Linked DNA regions of Arabidopsis thaliana. The protein of the gene in region 2 interacts with the protein of the main gene of each other region in a pairwise test. Each region holds a gene or a part of one and is shown on either strand. Other genes may lie near its edges.

Region 1 (8,083 bases), on a different chromosome or scaffold from region 2:
GGAACTTGAGGTCTCGCTGCTGAGTGGTGATACAAAAGTTGAAGAATTCTCAGGTTTTAGCCCCGCTGCTGGGAAGTCGTGGAACTGGGATGAACTTTTGGCTTTGACTCCACAGTTGGACTTGAAAGAGGTGCTGGTGGAGGCTGCTCGGGCAGTCGCTGATGGGGATTTCGCTACAGCGTATGGATTCCTTGATGTCTTGGAACAGATGGTGTCAGTCTCAGGCAGTCCGATCCAACGGCTAGGCACTTACATGGCAGAAGGGCTTAGAGCGAGGCTTGAGGGGTCTGGGAGCAATATATACAAATCCTTGAAATGCAATGAACCAACGGGAAGGGAACTGATGTCTTACATGAGTGTTCTCTATGAAATCTGCCCCTACTGGAAATTCGCGTACACAACTGCGAATGTTGAGATCTTGGAAGCAATAGCTGGGGAAACCAGAGTCCACATTATCGATTTTCAGATTGCACAGGGATCACAATACATGTTTTTGATTCAGGAGCTTGCGAAACGCCCTGGTGGGCCGCCGTTGCTGCGTGTGACGGGTGTGGATGATTCACAGTCCACCTATGCTCGTGGGGGAGGACTCAGCTTGGTAGGTGAGAGGCTTGCAACTTTGGCGCAGTCATGTGGTGTCCCGTTTGAGTTTCACGATGCCATCATGTCTGGGTGCAAGGTGCAGCGGGAACATCTCGGGTTGGAACCTGGCTTTGCTGTTGTTGTGAACTTCCCATATGTATTACACCACATGCCAGACGAGAGCGTAAGTGTTGAAAATCACAGAGACAGGCTGCTGCATCTGATCAAGAGCCTCTCCCCAAAACTGGTTACTCTAGTAGAGCAAGAATCCAACACAAACACCTCGCCATTCCTGTCACGGTTTGTGGAAACACTGGATTACTACACAGCGATGTTTGAGTCGATAGATGCAGCACGGCCACGGGATGATAAGCAGAGAATCAGCGCAGAACAACACTGTGTAGCAAGAGACATAGTGAACATGATAGCATGTGAGGAGTCAGAGAGAGTAGAGAGACACGAGGTACTGGGGATATGGAGGGTCAGAATGATGATGGCTGGGTTCACGGGTTGGCCGGTCAGCACATCTGCAGCGTTTGCAGCGAGTGAGATGCTGAAAGCTTATGACAAAAACTACAAACTGGGAGGCCATGAAGGAGCGCTCTACCTCTTCTGGAAGAGACGACCCATGGCTACATGTTCCGTGTGGAAGCCAAACCCAAACTAGATTGGGTAAGTTATAGTGATGATGGTTACTTGAGTGGATAAAGAAGAGCACAACAAAAACACATCTGTCGCTGTAAATTTTTTAGGATGTGCAATGATGTTTTAAGTTGTAACACAACCTAAGTTATATATGTATACAAACCAAACCTGGTGGTTGTTTTTCTCTTGTAAATTGTCATGTGGTTGTGGGTGGGTTGCTAGTAATGAAATATAACCAAAACATTGATTAGGTCATTTTATGATCTTCTTCTATATATACCGGTATAAGTCAACTGGCGGCTGAACAAAGGTCGTGAGGTAACAAAATATGAGACAAATCTACAGGTCAGATTGGGTTCTGAATTCTGATAAGGTCTTAAAAAGGAGCTCACCAACCCACAAAACCATGGATTGAACAAGTACAGGTCATTGCCTTCATTTTATTCTTTACTTTTCTAAGGCTCAAGCTTCCTTTATTGCCTTTAATAACAATATACTAATGAGTATTTTGCACTCAGTAACAAAATTCAGGAGAGTAATTTTTTGCCCTAACATGTTACTTTTATGTGTTAAGAGTTTAGAATTTTGGATCTATGATTTTAGTTTTTGTTAGGGAATCATATTCATATAAATAAAATATTGCCATTGACTTAATTGTTGTTATTCACCTAATTTCTCTCCAAATTTGGTCATTTACCTCAGTTGATTCTATATTATACTTGCTAAGTGTTCTTTGTCTAATTCTCTATCATTGTTTGATTTAATAATAACCAAACCTTAAGACTTGGAAGCAAAGAAGAGAGAAAATCCCAATTAATTTTTAATAATTCAAAGAGAGATATTGAGTGACTTCCACTAATACAAAGAAAGCTTGGTTTGTGCAATATTTTGCGGTTAAGCTATTAATTGCTGAGGCAACACCTTTTCACACTTTGCTTTCCTTCTTCCAAGTTTTCAACTTTTCTTTCTTACTCTTTCTATTAATCAAACTGCAACACAAAAATCATTTGGATAATACATGTTTAGAAGATGATTAAGCTTTAGTTTTATTTCAAGATTATCATAATTGTTATCTGTTGTTACCTACATTCATATAATCTTATCAAAAACGATAAAGACAAAAAGGGGATACAATATAGGTTTTTATTATAAAGAAACAGGAAAGAAAGAAAAGGGTTTTCACCAAACGAAATTAGTTCAATCATTTAAATTATCTTTATCCTTATGATTAGTGTCTTTATATCTGTCATATGCTGCTTCTCCTTCCAACTTCCTTTGGATTATATTCTCTTCTCTTTATTTTAATTTCCATTTGTGGTAGCTGTTTTATTTTTTGTATTTTCACGCCGTGTCCCTTTAAAATAATATTAACTACACCACTAATGTTGGAACATGAAAAACATGAATGAGGTAATTATGATGATGAACCAAATGTTAAGGACAAGCTCGGTGTAACTAAGAAGATAATTAGTGAAACAGAACAAGTCAATAACTTGTAAGCATTTCAGAATTGAAAATAAAGATAAGGGAGGATGAATATGAATTTAGTAAATGGGTAATGAAAGTGAAAGAAGAAGAGGGAAGGGTTGGTTACTGTCTCAAGGGTTTGAAATGGAGACGGTTGCTTGAGAATGAGGAAAAAGAGTTAGTAAGTTTTTAACTCTCTCTTTCTCTCTCCCTCTCTCTTTTTCAACGTCAATTCCTTTAAGGAATGGCCTCTCTCTCTCTCTGAAAGTGTGTGTGTATATATTAAACGACTCCATTTCTCCTCTGCTTAGACCAAAACTCATCTTCTATACTGCAACAAAGAAGGAGGAGCCGTTGAGACTACAAAATGACTGCAGCAGAAAACCCTTTTGTATCTGACACCTCTTCTCTGCAAAGCCAGCTTAAAGGTTCTTATTTTTCTTTCTGTTTATTGTTCATCAACCCTTATGAGTAATTTGCTTGATGTTGAGGTTGTTCTGCTTTCTTTTAATTCCACTCTGCAGAAAAAGAGAAAGAGCTTTTGGCTGCTAAAGCTGAAGTTGAGGCTTTGAGAACAAATGAAGAGCTCAAAGACAGAGTCTTTAAGGAGGTAACATGCATGATGATCATCAACTCTGTTTGTGATTGTTCTACAAAAACTTTAAGTCAATCTTACCTATAAGTTTTTTTGATCAATGTTTTCCATATTCAAACTGTCCTTTTTGAGCTTCTTGAGCTCTATTGATGCTACTTGGTGTTGTTTCAGCTTAGAGAAAACGTGAGGAAGTTGGAGGAGAAACTTGGAGCCACCGAGAATCAAGTTGACCAAAAGGTGAGGTTTTGCTCAAATACTATAGACCATCTTTGTGAAGGACTCATGTCAAAACATTAGAAATGACTAGAATAAGTTAAGCTTGTGACATGATTGTAGGAGTTGGAGAGGAAGAAGCTAGAAGAAGAGAAGGAAGATGCATTGGCGGCACAGGACGCTGCAGAAGAAGCACTAAGGAGGGTTTACACTCACCAACAGGACGATGACTCTCTACCCCTAGAATCCATCATAGCTCCTCTTGAATCTCAGATCAAGATTCACAAGCATGAGGTTCTTAAGACTATATGTATTTCAAATTTCTTTCTTGTATCAGTGTGAAGTGCCAGATTTTCTTGACATGCTACTGTTTGACAGATTTCTGCACTTCAAGAGGACAAGAAAGCGTTGGAACGTCTAACAAAATCAAAAGAATCGGCGCTTCTTGAAGCAGAGAGAATCTTGAGAAGTGCCCTTGAACGTGCTTTGATTGTTGAAGAGGTCCAGAACCATAACTTTGAACTTCGACGACAGATTGAGATATGCCAGGATGAGAACAAGTTTCTTGAGAAAATTAACCGCCAGAAAGTGTTGGAGATTGAGAAGCTCTCCCAAAGCATTGTAGAACTGGAGGAAGCGATCTTGGCAGGAGGAACAGCCGCCAATGCAGTTCGAGACTATCGCCGCCAAATCTCCCAGCTCAATGCAAGTGTTCTGTTTAGTTTCTTGTACTTCATTCTCACATTTGTTTTAAAGGAAAATCACATGATTTTTTCATCGTTACCAGGATGAGAAGAGAACCTTAGAGAGAGAGCTAGCCAGAGTCAAAGTGTCAGCAAGTAGAGTGGCACTTGCAGTTGCTAACGAGTGGAAAGATGAGAACGATAGAGTCATGCCTGTAAAGCAATGGCTTGAAGAGAGAAGGATTCTCCATGTACTCACTGCTTTTCACTTACACATCCAGTTAATACACACTGACTAGCTTATATGGGAAACATTAGTGTTGAACTTTGTGTCTGTGTGCAGGGAGAAATGCAGAAATTGAAAGATAAACTCGCTGTTTCCGAGAGAACCGCTAAGGCTGAGTCCCAGCTAAAGGTGATTGCTTATGTAGTTAATATTCTGTTGGTAAAAAGTGTAGTTTCTAATGCAAGTAAACATTATAGGAGAGGTTAAAGCTTAGGCTGAAAACCATAGAAGATGGCTTGAAGGGCCCAAACACGTTTTTCGTCTCTCCAACTACAAAGACTGAAAAATCTGGCAAGATTTTAGGATTCTTGACCAGTGGTGGTGGCTCAAAGAAAAGGTCTAGTTCTCAGCTAAGAGGCTCAGTTACAGGCAGAATCCATGCTATGAATCAGCCAATTGACAGAGTTGGGGAAAGTGATGAAATGGAGAATTCAAAGATTACTGCAAACGGATTGACTGATCAACATGAAGAAGATAGCGAAAGGAAAACAGAGGAAGATGGAAATGTTTATTCTGAAGATATGGTTTCAGGGTTTTTATATGACAGGCTTCAGAAGGAAGTGATTGCTTTAAGGAAGCTATGTGAGAGTAAAGAGGGTACTATAAATGCCAAAAATGAAGAAATCAAGGTAACTTCATCATCTTCTTGTGGTTGTTTAAGATCCTCAACTATATGAAACCTCTTAAGATACCTCTGTTTTTAGATGTTGTTGAAGAAGGTGGATGCTCTAACGAAAGCCATTGAAGTTGAGACAAAGAAGGCAAAGAGGGAAGCCGCAGCGAGAGAAAAGGAAAACGCATTGGCAATGTTGAATGAAGAGTCAAAACTATGTAGAAAGGCAAAACTACCGAGAAGGTTTGGTCATCACATCCTTTGTTGTTTGTCTTTGTCTTTTGAGAAGTATACATAGTCAAACATCAAGACAGTTGATATTTATATGTTTATGCTATGTTGTGCAGCCGCATACCCAATCCACGTTGCCAGTAGAGGAAGAAGAAGCTTATGGGATTGAATACTAAAGAATATGGTCTAATGTTAGGTTGTACTGTACATATTGAGTATTGGATGATGGATTATAAGAAAGTGAAAACTAAAGATCAAGAGATGTGTATGTGTGTTATGTATATCGGATTGCAAAGCCATGTTTCCAGATGATGACACAAAACTCCTCTCTCTTCTCCTACCAATTAGTTGAATGTTAGCAATTATCTTGGAAACCTATAAGTAAATCAGAATCAGCTAAACACAAAAACATGCATATTCTCTCTCAAAGTCATACATAACCATATATGTCTTCTCTCAGATTTTTTGGTCTTGCCTTGGTTGTTAGGCTAACATAACAAACTTTGCATCTAATATATATATCATAATCAGTTACAGGATCGTATGATCTCTGTAGTAGCAAGAAGATCCAAGCTTGAAGAAAACATAAATTTTATTATATACAAGAAGAGCATGAAGAACAAGATTTACAAAGACTATCTCTCTTTCTCACAAGAAGTGAGAAGGAACCATATAGAAATAAAGTCAGGACTGATCTTTCCTAGCAAGATTAATTTACAGTCTCTTTTACATGGTGCTCTCTTGTAAGGTGATATTTCCAGCTGTATAGACACGAGAGCCGTTGGAAGAGGAGAGGAGTTGAATACCTCTGTGAATCTTGGAAGAGCATCGATACGGTTTAGGGACAGAGAGTGTTTTAATGATACAAGCCTTGTCTAAGTCAGGAATCGCGTGGAGGTGAGAAGGAAGATCGATGACGAATTGCCCCAACTCATTTGTCACAGCTTTGATCCATTTAGATCTCCTCCTATGTCCAGTATGGCACTTGAAGCCAATAGTAGCTCCTGTATGATGATGATGATGTGTTAGAAATCTCGTAGTATATAATATAAGGAATACGGACCAATCCACTTATTACCAACTGGTTACGTACCATGAATAGGGGAGGAGGAGGAAGAGAGAAGAGAGGCGGTGAGAAGAACAGAGGAGAGTTTTTGTTCGCCGTAGCCAGCCATCTCCACCATCTCATCTCTGCTCCATCTATCACTAAATGCTTCCCCAAACGTCACAATTAATACCAACGTCATGCTCATCAACAAGAACCTCATCTTTAATCTTCAAGGTCGTATATATGTGAAAAACTACCAACTGGCTTAGAAATGGAACAAGCAAGGATGTGTTATATATATACACACACAAAAATGAATGGATTAGTTGAATAAATTAAGAATATGAGATCCTTATTTTGCTTTTTTATAAGTAAAAATGCCTCTTCCATAATTTGACTTTTATCTTTTTTGGTCAAATTATATGACTCCTTAATTATATATCTCCTTGCTTATATAATAGTAGAAATTACTTGTTTGCCTAATCCTTCTTTCTTCTTCTTCTTTTCTTCTTCTAGTTAATAAATTTGATCAATCTTTGATCAATCTTTGGTCAAATATCAGTACGGTATGCGACGTTTCTTCTTTACAAATGTCTTTATTTTTTTAATATTATGTTTCAAAGTCTAACCTAAATTTAAAGTCACAATTGACAAATAATCAAGCCTGCCCCAACTGTTTTTCTTTTCTTCTAGACATTTGTCTTTGTCCCAAAGACAACTTTTTTGGGAGAGTTCTTGTGTGGGTTGGTTATCAATAATCTCTCCAAGGATAAATACAAAAATGTTTATTTGAATGATGTGTCTATGATGACCTATCAATATTATAATTTCATTCAATCTCTATTTATTGCATTTTCTCAATTATAACTACACAAAAAGATCAACAATTTCACATAATTATAGTGTTATCTTTAACTAAAAAGTGCATCAGGCTTTTATTATTTATAGCCAATATATATATATATATATATATATAAATATATAATTGTATATTTCATTGTTATATATATATATAATTGTATATGTCATTGTTATGTAATTGTGATAGTTACCAAGAAGGAAATATCTAATTGTTATTTTTAAAGTAGAGTTATTTTTTTTGTTGACGTATCAATGCAATATATATAGTTTTGTTAATTAAATTATTTTCTATAGATAATTTCTTACAAAAGATATTATTAACCAACAACTGTTGATAAAATGATAGAAATAAAAATAAAAATAAACAAATTATATCAACACATACAAAATGTATTCAATAGTTTTAAATCAAATCTTAATTAATTAAAATTTTCATTTCAGTTGCACAACTATAAACATATTAATAACAAATTTGATTTCTTAAATAGTTTTCAAAAGTGTTACACAAATAAACCCAAAAGGAATAACTAAGCAAGGGGTTTAGGTGAACGGTACGGTACACAAATCCGAACCAAATCCACAAAATGACCACCAAGCACCAAGTTTAGAATAGCCGGTCCAGATTCTTTACTAATAAACTTCTAGACTCAGGTTATATTCAATTATTCATCTTAATAACGAAATTATCTTATTTCTAAATACTATAATGTATATATCAGTATATAGACATGTTCTTATTTTAGGAGTCAAGATATTGATGTTTTGAGTTTACCAATGCCCATGCCCCCAACAAAAGAAAACAAGATTAATAATCAAAATTGAAAATAGACAAATAGATAAAGGAAGACCTTAGAGTGAC
Region 2 (7,134 bases):
GCGATCGTGTGCGTAGAGAACATCCTTCCTCTTTCTTGAAAAGATGGTAGGTCGAAAATGCCAACGGTTCCGTTTTGGTAAGAGCAGAATATTATCGGTTTGGCTTCTGCATCATGCATACCAGAAAGAGCATGAACACTACTCTGTTCTTGTCTGCGAGTTTGAACAACTTTCAAGATTCCGTTTTCAGAATAAGCCCAAACTTTTATGGTCCCATCCAAGGAAGACGATATCAAACATTTATCCCAACATAAGAGTGAAGTGACAGTGCCGGTATGTTGCTTCAGGGTCATTATACATTGCAGGGTGTTGAGATCCCACATCTTGATTGTTTTATCGACAGAACCAGAGTATAGCATTTGACCTCCAACAGCAAAACAAGTGACTTCACCACTATGTCCCTCAAGAGATGTCAAGTATTTGAATGGATCAGACTCAGAGTCTGTAGTAGCTTTCCAGACTAAGATACTACCAGAACTTGTTCCAGCAAAAAGCATTCCGTTTGCAATAGTCATTGCATTCACCTGACCAACCACCCCTGCTGCTTGAAGATGCAAATCTTGACTGGTTTGAACGTTAAAAGCCTTTATAGCGTTTGGCAAGCCAAGGAAAACCCAAGGGCCTTCACTGATTAGAGACCCTGCTTCTGCGTCAAGGTTGATGGAATGTACACACTGACCAGAATTGCAGTCCCAAACTCGCAATGTACCATCAATACTGACTGAAAAGAGTTTATCTGAACCCTCAGGGAGAGCGATCCCCTTTAGTTCCTTATTGTGCCCTTCAAGAGAAGCTACCATGGCCAATCCAGGGAAACAAGACCAAGAGTGTAAGAACTGGCACTGCTCACCCCTCTTGCACTTTCCATCTTTCCAATACTTACATACCCATTTTCTGAGACTAGAAGATCTCATTGGCCCACAAGCAGCATTCTTCCTCGCCAAACCTAAAACTGGTGGTTTCGGTGACACATCATTGGTCCTTGGCATATTATTGCCCTCGGGTGATTTGTACTCTTTTGACGTCCAAACCAGACTCCTTGAAAACTTATTTGGACGGTCGTAAGGGACATAAGGTCTTCTTCTCGTAACTATATCTGTTGCGAAATCTTGCTGTCTCGCAACAACTCCGTGTGAGTAGTATCTCCTTGGCGCTTTGTAATCCATACTGAGAGAGAGATCAAACGTATGTAGAGGAATCTAGATCTTCGATTAGGGTTAACGATTTCTCCAACTCGTTCGGAGAGAGCCAACAAAAAAAGGAAATTTTGAGACGGAGTAAAGAACATGTAAAGAGTAGAATGATCTGGGGCTGCAGAGGAATGGTGTATATATAGATGAGCGTGGCGGTTACGCTATAATAATTTCTATTGGGCTTAACTTTAGGCCCATCATTCGTGGGTCCAATTAATGTTCAATTCTATCATTAGGTTAGGTCATTAATTATACCCTAAAATCTCTGTACTAGTAGAAAAAAAGAGGTCTTTATTCTGTATACTAATTACTAATTAGAGCTAAATCAGGATGAGTCCATCGCAACTTGTCTAATTACTGTTAGCCAAGACCACCCTAGAGTCAATATCATATGTTAACAATGATGTAAACCTTTTAGTATTGAAGGCCAAAGTAGTAATTAATCCATTGACTAACTTCTTTTAAACCTTGAGACAGTGAAATACTAACTCATTCAACAAAAATGGATCAAGAACAAGGAAATATTCTGATTAAAGCCAATGTAGTAATTAATCGACTGAATAACTAACAATTTTATGATTCTGATTAAAGCCAATTTATTCGGTTATATTCGGTTTACATATTTGATTTAGAATGTTTAGTTTTATTGGTTTGGTTCGAGTAGAATAAAATATTCACTGTTCGAACAACAACAAAAAAAATTCCTTCATTTCTCTCTCAGCCCTAAAAAAGCTTCACGCCGGTTTGTTTCACCGCCGTTGTGCTTCTTCTTCTTCTTCTACCTGGGTTCTCTCTCAAACAAACAAATCTCCGACGACTCATTCGTTCCTCCCAGGTAAGCTTCTTCGACCAATTTTACTTTCGCATTTTTCTCCGATTCACAGACCCTAGCTGTTCCCATTAATCAGGATTTAGCCAGAAACTTCTAGGGATCTAATTGTTTTTGAATCTGAATCTGTATTTGAGTTTAACGTTTTGTCTCCTTGTGTAGAATCAGAAGATTTAGTGAAATGGCTTTTTGCAATAAGCTAAGCCGTTTCGTGAGGAGGCAGAGTGAGAATGCTTCCATGATTGGCTCTCTCAGGTCTTTCTCTGCTGATGCCACTCACCATAGATTCCACCAGGAGACTCACAATTTTCTTGAGCCAGAATACTATATTGGTAGCTGGGAAGCTCCGAGTGATCCGAAAGATGCAGAGAGAAAGCTTGCTCAGCTTAGGAGAGATTATGCTAAGAAAGTTCGAGTGTATCGTAAAGAGTACATTCATGAGATTGAGATGCTTCGTGTTGAGAAACAGCGTAAGGATGAGGCTAGATTGTTGGCTGAACGAGCTGCTAATGAAGAGAGGCGACTCTTGAAGGCTGAGGCTGCTAAGGTTAGAGCTGAGGAACGTAAGATTGCTGACGAAGAGTTCAGGCAAACTCTGGTGAGTTCACTTTCTCTCTTCTCCGTTCTTTGTTTATTGTATAGAAACCATGGTGGATGTTTGATCAAGTAGTTGGATTAGTGTGAGATGATTCTTGAGTAAATAGGAGAATGGGTTTGTCTGGATAAGGTTCATCTAGCATGTGGAGAATCAAATTGTTGTTTTCCTCTTGAAAATTTGGAACCTTTTCCTAGTTATGCATCAGGGTGTAGTAGTATTATATAGAAGAGAACTTCAAGGTATAGTATTATGTTTGTGATTGGAAGAGAACTTTAGATTAGAGCTGATGGAGATGTATGACTAAGAGCTTTGATAAACGTTGCTTAGCATCAAGTGGAGGTTTTGATGAATCCTGTAGTTATCATTGTCTCCTTACATTAGCTGTTGTTGTTCTGGTTACAGCTTTAGCATCGTACCTAACAATCAAAAATAAGATGGATTTTGATGCTGGATCTTGATGCTTTTAATGGGAATTCTTTTGAGGGCAGTGAAACTTGTTAGTTAGAAGCTTCCTTTGTTCGGGCTGTAGGTAGATGAGACATCGCACACACACACACTGACCAAAGCAGTATTCACTGATTCATTAATTGATTTCACGTACTTATGTCTGCAAATTAATTCAGAAGAGTAGTACCACTCCTAGGTTTCTATTTCTAGTTTGAGTTCCTCATGTTTCTTGGTCACAGCCTCAGAGCAGTAATGGTCATAGTGCTTTTCTTCTTAAAGTTGTAAAACTGATTCAAGCTTGATTCACTGACTGGTTTATGTGTTTAATAAACTGTAGATAAAAGAAAGAGCAGAAAAGCTAGAGATGTGGAAGATGATGGGCCAAAAGAGGGAAGAGAAGATCAAAGAGAGAGAGAAGCTACTGCGTGAACAGAGTTCACTATGGATCGAGCAAAAAGAACTGGAGAGGAAGATTACAGAAGCCTTGGTTGACAACGTTGTTCTCTAAACCAAAGCTTCTCCTCTGAATCTTTGTTTAAGAAACAATCACTTTAGTCCTTTTGTTGAAGACAAGTCTTTTTTTTTTCTTAGAGAAGAAAGCGAAGGCTGTTTTAGCCTTTTTGCATCAAGCACATAATGAGAATTGTGGTCTTGTGACCAATCTCTTGTTTGTTGTGGTTCTGGTGTCGTAATATCATCATTAATAAGAAGTTTTCTCTTGTTGATTGTTATCAGTAGAAGATTGTTTTTTGGTAAATCATCTTCCTCATTGGTTTCGAATATAATGAACCTAGGCCCAATAGTTAATCGAGTAATGGGCTTAGTAGGCCTATCAGCGTGACATGTTTTGTAAATTTATACAATGCCATGAGGGACAATATTGTAGTTTTCTATAGGAACCGAATTTGTAAATTTCTAGAGGCCCAATAGTTAATTCGAGTAATGGGCTTAGTAAGTCTCTTCAATGTTTGATCGACAAGTACAAGAATCTTTATCAACGGTTCGTAAAAATTGTCTACGGTGATAGAAAAGATGAGGCTGTAACTAGGGTTAAAGTAGATGATAGCCCGCAAAAAACAGAGTCGGATAAGATCAATTTGGAGGGAAAAAGGAAGAGAGGAATGTTGCTGGACCAACCTGAGAGACCTCTCAAGAAAAGGAGAAAATTTGCTATAAGCTAATCCATAAGAAAAAACAAAGGCCGGTCTCATCAAAAGTACTAAACAACACTTGTGTTGTGTAGAGTTATGATATCTAGGGACATAAAAATCTAACCGATATCGAGGAAGATATGTACAAATGCGAAGATCAGATGTTCGAGGTAGATATATTGATGGGAGCTCTAACAAGTGTAGTGGAGAGTGCATAAGAAGTTATTAAGGGAGAGATGAAACCAAAAGATCTTGGAGAGAAGTTCTACAAATGTGTAGAAATGTTATATGGTGGAGATATGTTTGAAATAGTGACAGAAGATCATCAAAGAGTTTTACCTATGATCGTGAGCCAGTTGAAACAGAAACTGCGTCATGTCACGGCTGCAAGAGAGAACTTGAAATCTGTCTGGAAGCAAACTATTGAAAAGTTTTCTGCAAAGCAAAGAGGTTCCACTCCACAAGAATCTCAAGTAAAGACAACAACAATCTGGTTTTAGAATGTAATTTTCATTAGGTTAATATGGTATTGGTGTTGGTTGTGTTTTTTTTGTTTAGCTAAATGTAGACAACCGTCTTTATAGATTTTAAATCGGGTATATAATTGTGGTTATCAGTATCTAACTTATTTTTCAACTAAATTAATTTTTTATTTTTATGTTAATTTGACAGAATTATATCCAATCTTTTAACTGACTATGTCACGTCAATATAAAATCGAGAATTAATTTGGCCGGTAGATTAATCTAAAGTTTTATACAGAAATTATCAAACAAAGTATACATGAAAGCAAATCAACATGTCCAACTTTTTCTGAATACAATTCAACCATAACACCGTCACATCACACTGACGGCGACAAAACAATGAAAAAGACATAATAAAAACAAAACATTAGAAAAAATCAAACACTAAAATAATGTTCTTATCAAAATAAATTTACAAAAACTAAAACCAAACACATGCACTCTCAAGTAAAAGACAAAAAGATCGATTTCAGACAACCAATTTTCCTTTCCACAACTTTTTTCTTCATGAAGAAGAGAGAAAAAAAACGTCGTTTTCTCTTTCTCTCCGGTAGTCCTGTCGGCGATAATATACGTTACGCTCGTTCTTCAAACAAGTTTGTAGCCAAAATGCTATTAATTGCTAATTAGTGGAAATTAATGATAAATATTAATAACGTTATGCTTTCATTTACCTTTACAAGTGAAAAGAAAGAAAAATTAATTATAAATTCTTAAATTGTTAATACGAATATAAAAAAGGCTGTCATTTGGCGTTAATTTTATTTCCTTTTTAATGGAATTATTTTATACTATATGTTAAAAAAACATAATTCGTTTTTTCCTATCATTTCATTTGTAGACTGTTTTCTCAATCAATAGAAAAAAAGGCTTCTCTGTGTTGTTCTCTGTGGTCATTCTTCTTTCTTTTCACTTCTTCTTCTTCTTCGCTCTTCTTCTCACTGTCGGGTTCCATTTGGCGCGAAAAGTTCTTCACTTTTTCCAGCTTTTTTTTGTTCTCTGACAGTTTTTTTTTTTGTTTGGTTACAAATAAAGATGCCAGTAAGTGTAAGTGTCTTTTTATAAGTTTAGTTCTGAAGTCTCTTGTCTTTCTTTTACTCTCTTGTCCGAAATTGCTTGATTCTCGATTTTGACGAAGCTTGAAAAACAAACCCAGTTCGTTAATGGTTTCTGGGTCTTCGTCATTTCACTGGATCCGTTAGAAAAATGATTCCTTTTTGTTATCTATTGATTCCCGATCTGAATTTGAAGCTCTTAGTATGTTTTTATTCAGGTGGCACTAGTTTTGCTGTTGACATTGAGCAGTGTGATTCTGATTAATGGGAGAAGTTACGGCGTCGGAAACATATGCGATCGTGGTCGGAGACCGAGCGAGAGACCACACAGTGTCAAAATCACTGATTTTGGTGCTGTGGGAGATGGGAAAACGTTGAACACACTTGCGTTTCAAAATGCTGTCTTTTATCTAAAGTCTTTCGCTGATAAAGGTGGTGCTCAGCTTTATGTTCCTCCGGGACGGTGGCTCACCGGAAGTTTCAACCTCACCAGTCATCTCACTCTCTTTCTCGAGAAAGACGCCGTCATACTTGCCTCACAGGTCTGTGTGTGTGTCTCTCTCTCTCTCTCTTTGTCTAAAGTCTTGATCATTCTAAAGAGTAAAGATCAGAGTTTGCAGCTTAACTGTTTCATAGACTTCTGATTAGCTTCAGAGAATCCTGTTTTTGAATTGATGTGTAGAAACCCAAATTTGGTTCAGTAGTTAGGCATTGTGGCTTAGGATGACCTCTGGCTCCAATTGCTAGCAAGATTGGGGATTATAAAAGGATATATCTCATTGCGCTGGTTTTCAGTTAAATCAATATATATATCTACCAATGTTCCATGGTTCTGCATTGTTATCAGTCAGAACATTTGTGTATTTGTTTCTCATTTTGTCTTTTATTTGTTGTTCTTACCTCAACCGTGTGAAGGATCCATCGCATTGGCAAGTCACGGATGCCTTACCGTCATATGGGCGGGGTATTGATCTACCAGGGAAGAGATACATGAGTTTGATAAACGGTGACATGCTACATGATGTAGTAGTAACAGGTTATATACATATTTTGTTCCATTCATTTCATTTTGTTTGCTAATGCTAAATAAAAACTCACTGTTGTATACCATATTCATTGGCTTAGGTGATAACGGTACCATAGATGGGCAAGGCCTTGTTTGGTGGGATCGGTTTAATTCTCATTCTTTAGAGTACAGTCGCCCTCACCTTGTCGAGTTTGTCTCTGCCGAAAATGTCATTGTATCAAATCTTACATTCTTGAACGCTCCGGCTTATACTATCCATTCAGTTTATTGTCGGTAAAAATAGTTTGAAAATTCCCTCTTATTATTA

Evidence for each region. The genes of interacting proteins can lie anywhere in the genome.
Region 1: the proteins of AT5G49210 (region 2) and MAP70-5 interact in a two-hybrid assay, tested with the Arabidopsis thaliana proteins (one large-scale study listed by BioGRID).

What each region holds. Positions count from the first base shown.
Region 1 is NC_003075.7:9,654,384-9,662,466, reverse strand, and holds MAP70-5 (microtubule-associated proteins 70-5), read left to right. Parts: upstream 1-2,890; 5' UTR 2,891-3,061; coding exon 3,062-3,122; intron 3,123-3,218; coding exon 3,219-3,304; intron 3,305-3,460; coding exon 3,461-3,526; intron 3,527-3,625; coding exon 3,626-3,796; intron 3,797-3,880; coding exon 3,881-4,207; intron 4,208-4,289; coding exon 4,290-4,436; intron 4,437-4,528; coding exon 4,529-4,600; intron 4,601-4,668; coding exon 4,669-5,100; intron 5,101-5,175; coding exon 5,176-5,327; intron 5,328-5,431; coding exon 5,432-5,459; 3' UTR 5,460-5,815; downstream 5,816-8,083. Other genes in the region: SCL13 (SCARECROW-like 13), read left to right, coding at 1-1,249; AT4G17215 (Pollen Ole e 1 allergen and extensin family protein), read right to left, coding at 6,042-6,319, 6,409-6,583. UniProt on the Arabidopsis thaliana protein: Plant-specific protein that interact with microtubules and regulates microtubule dynamics. May play a role in anisotropic cell expansion and organ growth.
Region 2 is NC_003076.8:19,947,890-19,955,023, forward strand, and holds AT5G49210 (stress response NST1-like protein), read left to right. Parts: upstream 1-1,801; 5' UTR 1,802-2,028; intron 2,029-2,184; 5' UTR 2,185-2,203; coding exon 2,204-2,620; intron 2,621-3,022; coding exon of another isoform or gene 3,023-3,028; exon of another isoform or gene 3,029-3,404; coding exon 3,405-3,575; 3' UTR 3,576-3,824; downstream 3,825-7,134. Other genes in the region: AT5G49200 (WD-40 repeat family protein / zfwd4 protein (ZFWD4)), read right to left, coding at 1-1,166; AT5G49215 (Pectin lyase-like superfamily protein), read left to right, coding at 5,781-5,792, 6,019-6,342, 6,716-6,836, 6,926-7,100.